2 linked regions of the Tribolium castaneum genome follow. The protein of the gene in region 1 purifies or fractionates together with the protein of each later gene. This does not show direct contact. Links are inferred from orthologs where the notes say so. Each region holds a gene or a part of one and is shown on either strand. Other genes may lie near its edges. The genes, in order: DNA (cytosine-5)-methyltransferase PliMCI and Sirt1.

Evidence for each region.
Region 2: the proteins of DNA (cytosine-5)-methyltransferase PliMCI (region 1) and Sirt1 purify together in Homo sapiens (affinity purification with western blotting; 3 studies listed by BioGRID and IntAct, with this or other methods). This does not show direct contact. The link is inferred for Tribolium castaneum from reciprocal best matches to the Homo sapiens genes DNMT1 and SIRT1.

The regions. Positions count from the first base shown.
Region 1 is NC_087403.1:4,025,771-4,030,193, reverse strand, and holds the start of DNA (cytosine-5)-methyltransferase PliMCI, read left to right. Parts: upstream 1-1,600; 5' UTR 1,601-1,714; coding exon 1,715-1,731; intron 1,732-1,782; coding exon 1,783-2,017; intron 2,018-2,062; coding exon 2,063-2,653; intron 2,654-2,701; coding exon 2,702-3,089; intron 3,090-3,140; coding exon 3,141-3,403; intron 3,404-3,447; coding exon 3,448-3,614; intron 3,615-3,660; coding exon 3,661-3,811; intron 3,812-3,856; coding exon 3,857-4,088; intron 4,089-4,228; coding exon 4,229-4,417; intron 4,418-4,423. Other genes in the region: trithorax group protein osa, read left to right, coding at 1-298. UniProt on the Homo sapiens protein: Methylates CpG residues. Preferentially methylates hemimethylated DNA. Associates with DNA replication sites in S phase maintaining the methylation pattern in the newly synthesized strand, that is essential for epigenetic inheritance.
Region 2 is NC_087394.1:11,915,717-11,920,027, forward strand, and holds the start of Sirt1 (NAD-dependent protein deacetylase sirtuin-1), read left to right. Parts: upstream 1-1,282; coding exon 1,283-1,433; intron 1,434-4,311. Other genes in the region: eIF1A (eukaryotic translation initiation factor 1A, X-chromosomal), read right to left, coding at 641-828, 1,056-1,071. UniProt on the Homo sapiens protein: NAD-dependent protein deacetylase that links transcriptional regulation directly to intracellular energetics and participates in the coordination of several separated cellular functions such as cell cycle, response to DNA damage, metabolism, apoptosis and autophagy.

The sequences.
Region 1 (4,423 bases):
AACGCCGTGCGTTTCGCTGCTGGTCGCGTTCATCGAGCAAGCCGAACAAAGCGCTTTGGGCGTCGCGAACCAACATGGTATAGGTGCACTACGAGATAATCCCGATTCGATGGGAACGAGTCTGGATATGTTGAGGAGAGCGGCGGCGACGTTAGTGTTTCTGGCGCGGCATCCGGATAACAAACCGTTGTTGGTCCAACAAGAATCGAGGCTGTTGGCGCTTGTTATGAGTCAAATTTTAGATCAGCAGGTGGCACTCCTGCTTTCCAAAGTACTATTTCAAATATCTCGCAGCTAATCCCTCTGTAGATACTCTTGCGGCCTTGGACTGGTGTACAGACCTCTATGTATAGCGTGAATAGTTAAACTTTACCAATGAACAGTGTGTATGTGTGAGTGTAATGGGACAAATGGCGAGAGTCGCCGTGAGATCCGGATCTCCGATAGCTAATGAATTCACCTAGTGTAACCAACCCATAATTGTACCATTTTGTAAATTAAGCAAACATACGTCTTTCTGGAAATGTCAAACATCCATGTTACTTATGTATTTATTAATTTGAATAACAGAGTATGGTAGTGCTGTAGCTCTCGAGTTGCTGCCTGGTATGATGATGATAATGATAATAACGAAACGGTGATGATGATGGTGGTCATCCCTTTTATTTTTCCTGCGCACTCAGTTCTCTTATTTCATGTTTGGTATTACTGTGCGAATGCTTTATACATGTCTGATAATGAAATAAATAAATGTACAAAGGAAGTACCGAAAATGGTGTTTTTATACAAGTTTTAATTTTCTATGTATATTTAGAAAATGTTTTATACATCCCATTTTAGATGTTACATTGAACTCTGTTAATGAACAAGTATGGACTGTAAAACAATGCAACTTGCGTTATTAGAAAAAGCAGTCTTGCTATAGAACTCAAATGTAGTTTAAAATATGTGGTGATATTTTTCTGGCTGTAGGTATATTTCATCTTATGTATGATTGCATATTGTAAAAATTAAGTAAATGCTAAATACATTAAATTCTTTTTAATTCCGGCAAACCCTTCAAGTTTTTTTCAAAACAATATTCTGCAACATTTATTATTCAACCACTACACCACACAGGTAAGTAAATTACTACCTACAATAATTTTTACCAATTTACACGTGAAGGGTATGGTAAAAATAAATTCCATTTGTATATTAATATTTTTTTTGTTCTGCCCAGCAGTCCAATTATTAACACTGTTAAGCCAGATTTTGTCAAAACAAGCTTCGTGACGTGAATTTTTAATTTCGAATTCCGAAATACATTTCACAATGAAAAGTCAACAAGATAAAGGTTTGAAAAAAAAATTGCCACGTTTCCCACTCACTGTTATACAAGGTGAGCTCAAGTAACGCATAAAAAATTCATACATGTTGATTTTATTTTTAAAAATACTACGTTTGTGACGTCATTGGTTTTTGATGAGTTATTGCGATTGTTTTTTTGCTTAATTAAGTAGGAATTTTATGGGTTTTTTAACTCGCTGTGTATATTTTTTGTCCACAAACATGCAACCAGTAAAACATTTGCTCCCCGCCGAAAATTAAATTTTCTAACACCGCGTTTGCGCATTTTATAACTATTTGGCGCGAGTTACCCTTCCACTTCAGTAACTCGAGAAGTTTTGTTTTGTCTAGTCTAGTCTCTAGTTATTCGCTAAATTCTTCAATAATGTCCTTAAGAAAAAGGTAATTTGTTCTTTCGTAGTAGACAAGTAGTAGTAGAGTCGTACCTTACAGGTTTAGAGAGTCTCCCGCACAGGAAACGGGGGACAACACGAAAAAACACAAACGAACCTCTACTCATTCAGACAAGTGCAAATTTTGCGCACAAACTCTTAATCAGGCAGTAGTTTACACAAATTTCCCCGATGACTATGCCGAGGAGTCTGTTGCTTTAACATCCGAAAGACTGAATGTGTACAACGGTACCGAAAACATCAGTTTTGAGGAGGGCGACTTGCCCAGTCACAAAGTAAAGTTCCATATGATCTTCCAGGAACATGCCATTGCCTCTTAGATAACTTGTTTCAGTATTTACGACTTGAATGACCACTTGTGCCCCCTTGACACCGGGTTGTTGCAAAAAGAGGTCTATTTGCATATCGGGGGTTACATTAAACCAATTTTCGACGACGACCCGAGCCCCGAAAATGGCATTGCAACGCTTGACATGGGGCCCATTCACGAGTGGTTCATTGCCGGTTTTGACGGGGGCGAGAAAGTCTTACTGGGGATTATCACTAACTACGCCCAGTACGTTTTAATGGAGCCCTCGCTGGAATACGCCCCCATTTTCAAAAGCCTCCAAGAGAAAACCGTTTTGTTTAAATTCGTTATTGAGTTCCTACTAAGCAATTTCAGCCGCGCTCCTTCCTACGAGGAGCTACTGGCCGCAGTGGAAAACAGCGATAACCCACTGTTGACCGAGGAATTTCTCCTGCAAAACGCCCAGTTTGTGTGCGATCAGATCCACAGCTTCGACTTGGACGCTGGGGACAACAACGACATGCCGTTACTCACAATGCCATGCGTTCGAACTTTGGCGAGTTTGGCTGGTGTTAGCTTCCGGAAGCGCCAACTCATGCGGAATCTTTTAGGGAACCAAAGGGTAGCTGCTTAATTGTATTTCACTCGATTGCAACTTTACTCATTGTAGAGAACTAAGCTCCAGTTGAGCAAAGCCACAGCCACGCCGCTAGTCCGCCAATTGTTCGAACAGTTGTTCCCGAATCAAATCCAGACTGAAAATTGCCAGTCGCCCAAAAAGACACGGTGTGGCATTTGCGACACGTGTCGGTCGCCCGACTGCGGCCAGTGCGTTTACTGCAAAGACATGGTCAAGTTCGGCGGTGATGGCAACATGAAACAGCCCTGCAAGCTGAGACGTTGCCCCAACTTGGTCGTGCAAGAGTTGGACGAGAGTGACGACGAAACTGTCGTGACACCAGCCAGGGGGCGGGAGGACGGCCGCAGACCTGGCGTGAGCCGGGTCCTGAGCGACGGCCCCCTTCAGAATTTCCGCGAATCGATTGATATAGTTCTTGGTAAAATCACATTCTTCTGAATTAACTTGGGCTCATATCATCAATCGTTAGGTGGGGTTAATGATGACGACACGGGCATTTTACTCAACATCAAGACCGGCGATTTTGTCCAGTTATCGCCCAAAAGTGCAACCAAACCGAACACAATCGCCCGAGTTGTTAACATATACACGGCTACGGAACCAATGGTCCATGTGTATTTGTTCTACCGCGGCAATGAAACGATTTTAGGGGAAGTAGCCAATCCGCAAGAACTTTTCGCTTCAAATGAATGTGAGGATTGCCCGGTTGCCGCCATAGTAGGACAGGCCAAGGTAATGCAATTATAAGATCGAATTTTTTCCAATTTTTCCGGTAGGTTGTTTACAAAGCAACGCCCGACAATTGGGCCGATTTGGGCGGGATTGAGTGTTTGCCATCTGGCGATGATAGGTTTTTTTACGCAAAACAGTACGACAGTGAGACTGCCACGTTCACGGACTATGTTAAAGTCAGGAATGAGTTGGATTCGTGCGGACATTGCAGGTAATTTTTCACTTTTTGCCCACCGTTGGTACGTTTTGAAATTCAGGTTGAACGAGGAACGAAAGAAGATTGAAACTCCCACTTTCAAAGATAACAAAGTCCAATGGCGCAACGAGTTTTACGAAGCAGGGAACTCGGTTTTTTTGGATCCTTCGGTTTATCAATTCCCGATTCCCGTTGAGTGCACTTTCGATGATGTAATTATAAGACTTGCATTTTCCCGTGTTTACGATAATTTTCAGGCGAAAGAGATGAATGAGAGCAAATACCCGGAGTACTACCGAAAACGCGAAGCTAACGCTTCTTGCAAAAAAATGCCCCAACCGTTCTGCATTGGATTAATCGAGACCCTATGCGATGGACCCGCCGGGGTATTGATGGCGATTCGGGTGTTTTTTCGGCCTGAAAACACAAAGGGTGGCAGCATGTTATCGTATCAGTCTGACATCAATCTGCTGTTTTGGTCCACTAAATGTAAATACTACACTAACGCTATATTCTTCTTAATTATTTCCGAGTCGTACAAAACTATCGTTTCCATAGATCTCTTTCAGACAGTTCCTATAAACTGCCCAAATACCAGTAGTGTGATAAATTGCCAATTGATATTTCAGTTATAACAGTTCCGTTTCGTAAAGTGATGGGGAAGTGCTATGTTGTTTACTGTTCTGACGAACAGAAGGCGCGGGAATGGTCCGAGGGGGGCCCTTATCGCTACTATTTCAGACAGCAATACGATCCAGACTGTGGTGAATTAGTTCCACCCACGTATAGCTGCACAAGACTGGCTTTGAGAGAGGGAGGTAAGT
Region 2 (4,311 bases), on another chromosome or scaffold:
ATTTTCAACAAGTTAATTATACAGACATTCGAAAAAAATTCAAAATAAAATAACAAAATTCTTTACATTTAAATTCACATGTCAACTGAGAAAAAAGCCGCTCTTCTAGAATGTCAAATTATACCTCCCATATTAAAATAATGATAATAAATCTAATTCCAAAAAACAATATGCAATAACCATTTTTTTCAAAAGGTTTTTAGGTAGAACACTTTGCAAAAGTTCAAAATTATGTTTTGCAGCTAAATTCTTCCGGCAATTGGTACAGATGTGATTTTGTTTTTTGACCAAATTTCGCAATAAATCATAACATTTCGGATACAGAAGATACACAAACCAAATTAAGGTTTCATGTGTAGATAACGTTAAAAAGAAATGGAATTTGGTGGGTTTTCTTGTCGCTGGGACTCAGTTTAACACAGATATCTTTCCTTATGCAGACTCTCAATTTGAACTTTATTTTACTCCAAAAAGCTCAAATGAGCTGTCCCTCACAGAACGCTTCATACTAAAAATTTGGCCAATTTAATTTTTTTATTGTAACAAGACCCTAAGCGCAAATTCAGTATAACTTACGTCGATTACCATAAAAAATACAGAATAATGGCAAAAACATCAGACTTTAGCTCTTGCAAATTACCTTCTTCCTAAGCTTGCCTCGTATGTGACATAACCTCTTAACGCCATCAAAGCACATTGCTTCCAGCCGTCCATTCCCCAACATTTTTGTGACTTGTGCATACTCCTGTCCATCTTCCTTGAAGACCAGCTCACGTTTTTCCGTTTCATTTTCGTTCTTACCCCTTCTACGGTTCTTACCTCCCTTTCCTGGAATGACATATTAAAACAAAACGTCACTATGTGAACTTGACATTAGCCACAAGGGGACACAATTTGCACATTTTGCCCACTTGTAGTCCACAACTTTTGGCAATTTTCGGGCCGTTTATTGCAAAATGTGCCCCAATAATTGTCAAAACGGAACGTGTGGTCGCGAGGTGTCGATATGTCGCAAATTGGCAACATACGCAGTTAGGGGCGCGGAGCAGTCTCACCTTTATTCTTCGGCATTGTGTGGGCGACTACACGGCGGTGTGGAAAAGGGCCGAAAAGTTTGCAAAAACGCCGAAATAATTTGTAATATTTCACAAGAAATTTGCTGTCTGTTATCTGGCGGTGCACAGACGACGCAAGGGATTGTGGGTAGGCGCTGGATGCGCGCGCAGGAATTCCTCCGGCACTGGCGACTCGATGCTCGAAAAGATTTTTATTCGTGTCAAAGATGGATACCTATCCTGACGTTGCTGAACACGAATCCAGTGCGAAACGAATTAAACTCGACCTAAGAGAGTCGAATATAGGTGAATTGTGCAATGGGGGCGATTTTTCTAGTTATTCCACATCAGCTGGCGGCCCGATTGACATCCCCGAAGGTAAAATTTCTAAAATATGTTTGCTTGTTTAGGGAAAATTTCTCATCCAATATGGCGACGAGAACAAAGGCGATTTAGCAGACATTTTGTAGGCGTGGTGCTAGGATCGAAATGACTGATGAACTTGTAAAATTTGCGGTTGATTCATTTTTGACTCAGAACGGGTGCTTGTCGTTCGTTTCGCTTCACATAGTCGTTTTTCTTTGTTAAGTTATATTTGAAAATATTAGAAATAAAATTTTAATGATTTTTTTAAATTTAGTGGTTTTATTTACCTTGTTTCAGTTGAGTTCTGTCAGGGTTATGTTTGGTGTATTTTTGGTGGTATTGTGCATAAAGCTTGTGGAAAATATTCCATTTCGGACAAAAACTATAAAAATAGTCGGAAAAAAAAGGTGGAATACTACTGACAGTTTACGACTGACTTGTTTGCAAAAGAGGTTAAGTTTATGTTTTTATGTCAAAACCGCGTGTTGCATGGAACATTTTCAAATCTGTTGATTAAATTATGGTGATAAATGGAAAATCTAAGGTAGCATCAATTCATCACGTGGGGGAATTCTTAAAGAACTTGTTTTTTTTTAGTGAGCATTTTTTTATATAAATTCACTCATGTTTTTTGTCTTAATTTTATATTCTTTGAATTTGAGAACTTGCCTTGAATGTAATAAAAATCAAATACGTTTTAGTTTTATCTTGATGTTTATAAAATTTCTGAATTTGACTGCTTCAGATCTGCTATTTTTTCTTAATTTTTAATGTATAGTCTAAGCTAAGAGGAGGGATGTTAATTAAAAAAAATGGTTTTAGGAAAAAAATAATTTTTATATCTAGTTTTTTTCCGAAATTTAGATTTAGGTAAGCTCTTCATAGTCTCATGAAATATTTTGTTTTACATTTGTTTTTTTGTACAATTTATTTATTGGTATTTTTATAAATTCAGGATTAGTCAGTGTTTAGGAATTTTTTTTCAGGTTTTTTTAAAAATAAACGTTTTTATTAAACAAGTTATTTGTGGTAATAAGTATAAAATCACATTTTAAAATATTTTAATTCGATTTTTCTAAAAAAAAAACAGATGAATGACATCAAGTGAAATAATTTTTTTTAATTCAGGATTTTTTTTATTTCTGTTAAAGTTAGAGCTCTAGTTTTTTTGTAATTTTTTAATTAGAATATAATAAAAATCAAATAGTTTTTTAGTTTCATCTTAATGTTTATAAAATTTCTGAATTTGATCTTCTATTTTTTCTTAATTTTTATTTTAAAATACTTCTTGCACTTGCACTCGAAGCTAAATTTCATTAGTGGTCAAATGTGAAGAGAAGAGATGTCAATTTGAAAAAAGGTGGTTTTTAGTGAAAAAATGAATTTTTGACTGATAGTTTTTTTCCCAAATTTAAATAGGAAAGCTCTTTGTAGTCTTATCAAACACCTTTGTTTTACATTTTTTTTTTTGAATAATTTATTGTGGCAAAATTATTCACCGTCTAATAAGTAAGAAATCACATTTTAAAATAATTTGACTCGATTTTTCTAAAAAAAGCAGTTTTTGACATTTTGCTTTAAGATCAGTTCACATCTTAAGGTCTGTGCAGTGTACACACTATCATATTATTATGCAATTTAATGCAAACAAAAAGGATGCAGTGTGAATTCTTCAAGAAAGTTTATCTTTTTTGAACGAAAGATGAGTGGAAAAGTGATTTGTATTAATTTTTTCTTCTCAAATATTTGAAATTTTTGGAGACAAATATAATAAAATTTATGATCTGGAAGTATTAATACGTAGTATCGCATGTATTGAAAAAAAAATCTACAGACTACAAATCGATTCAAATATTACAAATGATGTAATATATGCTAAAAGATTAAGTTAGGTATTGTTGGTAAAAATTTATGCTGGAAGGATGTAAAATTCTTTTAGAGAAAAACAAATAAAGCAATAATTTGTATTTCTAATTTATTGTTGTAATTCAGGGAATTTCTTCAGTTTAATTAGTTATTTTTAGACGTAAGTCGATGTGGGCAGAACCTTATTGAACATTTTTTCTTGGAAACTGCGAAATCGTGCAAAGGTAACACACCTATAATATCACCCCAAAAGAGACAGATTTATGGATTTATTGAAATTACAAAAAAAAAATCAATTTCAAAAAGCGTATTTCAAAATTCTCAAGACGCAGACTAAGTTAAAACTCTTGTAACATGAGATACTATGATAAACATTCGATAAGTAAAGTGTTGATACGATGGATCACCTGTGGGAGAGGAACTTCAACTTTAAAGTAGTGAAAAATCTACAAATATTGTGTCTGACCTGATCTTAGTGAATTAGAATTTATTTTTTTTTCCTAGAAAAATTACACGTTACCTATGTTTGTAATTTTCTTCATTTGGGATTTTTATGGACCTTATATAATTTTCTTAAATTTAATTTAAATTTACTCCAAGAAAAAAGACTACTACAGTGAAATGACAAGTGTAAATTATGCAGTTACATAAACACTACAATGTTAACTTAATATTTACACAAATAACTCAGACGACACTAGGGTTGGTAAGATTGGCCTTATAACCATTAAAATCACTAATTTCTTACTTTAAAATTCAAAAAAATAGGAAATATAGATTTTAAACATACAGGGTGAATTTGACACTATTTATGGGACTATTTATATAAATTTATGGGACACCCCCAAACTTTACCAATGAAAATTGTAAAAAATCTGATCTTTGAAGTAAGTTCTTTAAAATATATTATCATTCCTTTAAGCATATTTTGTTAATTTTGTTATGACTCCACAAAAAATAAATAAATAATGTTAAATTTTTTTTATATTTTTTTACTTTATCGAATTTCATTTTCTCAAATGTT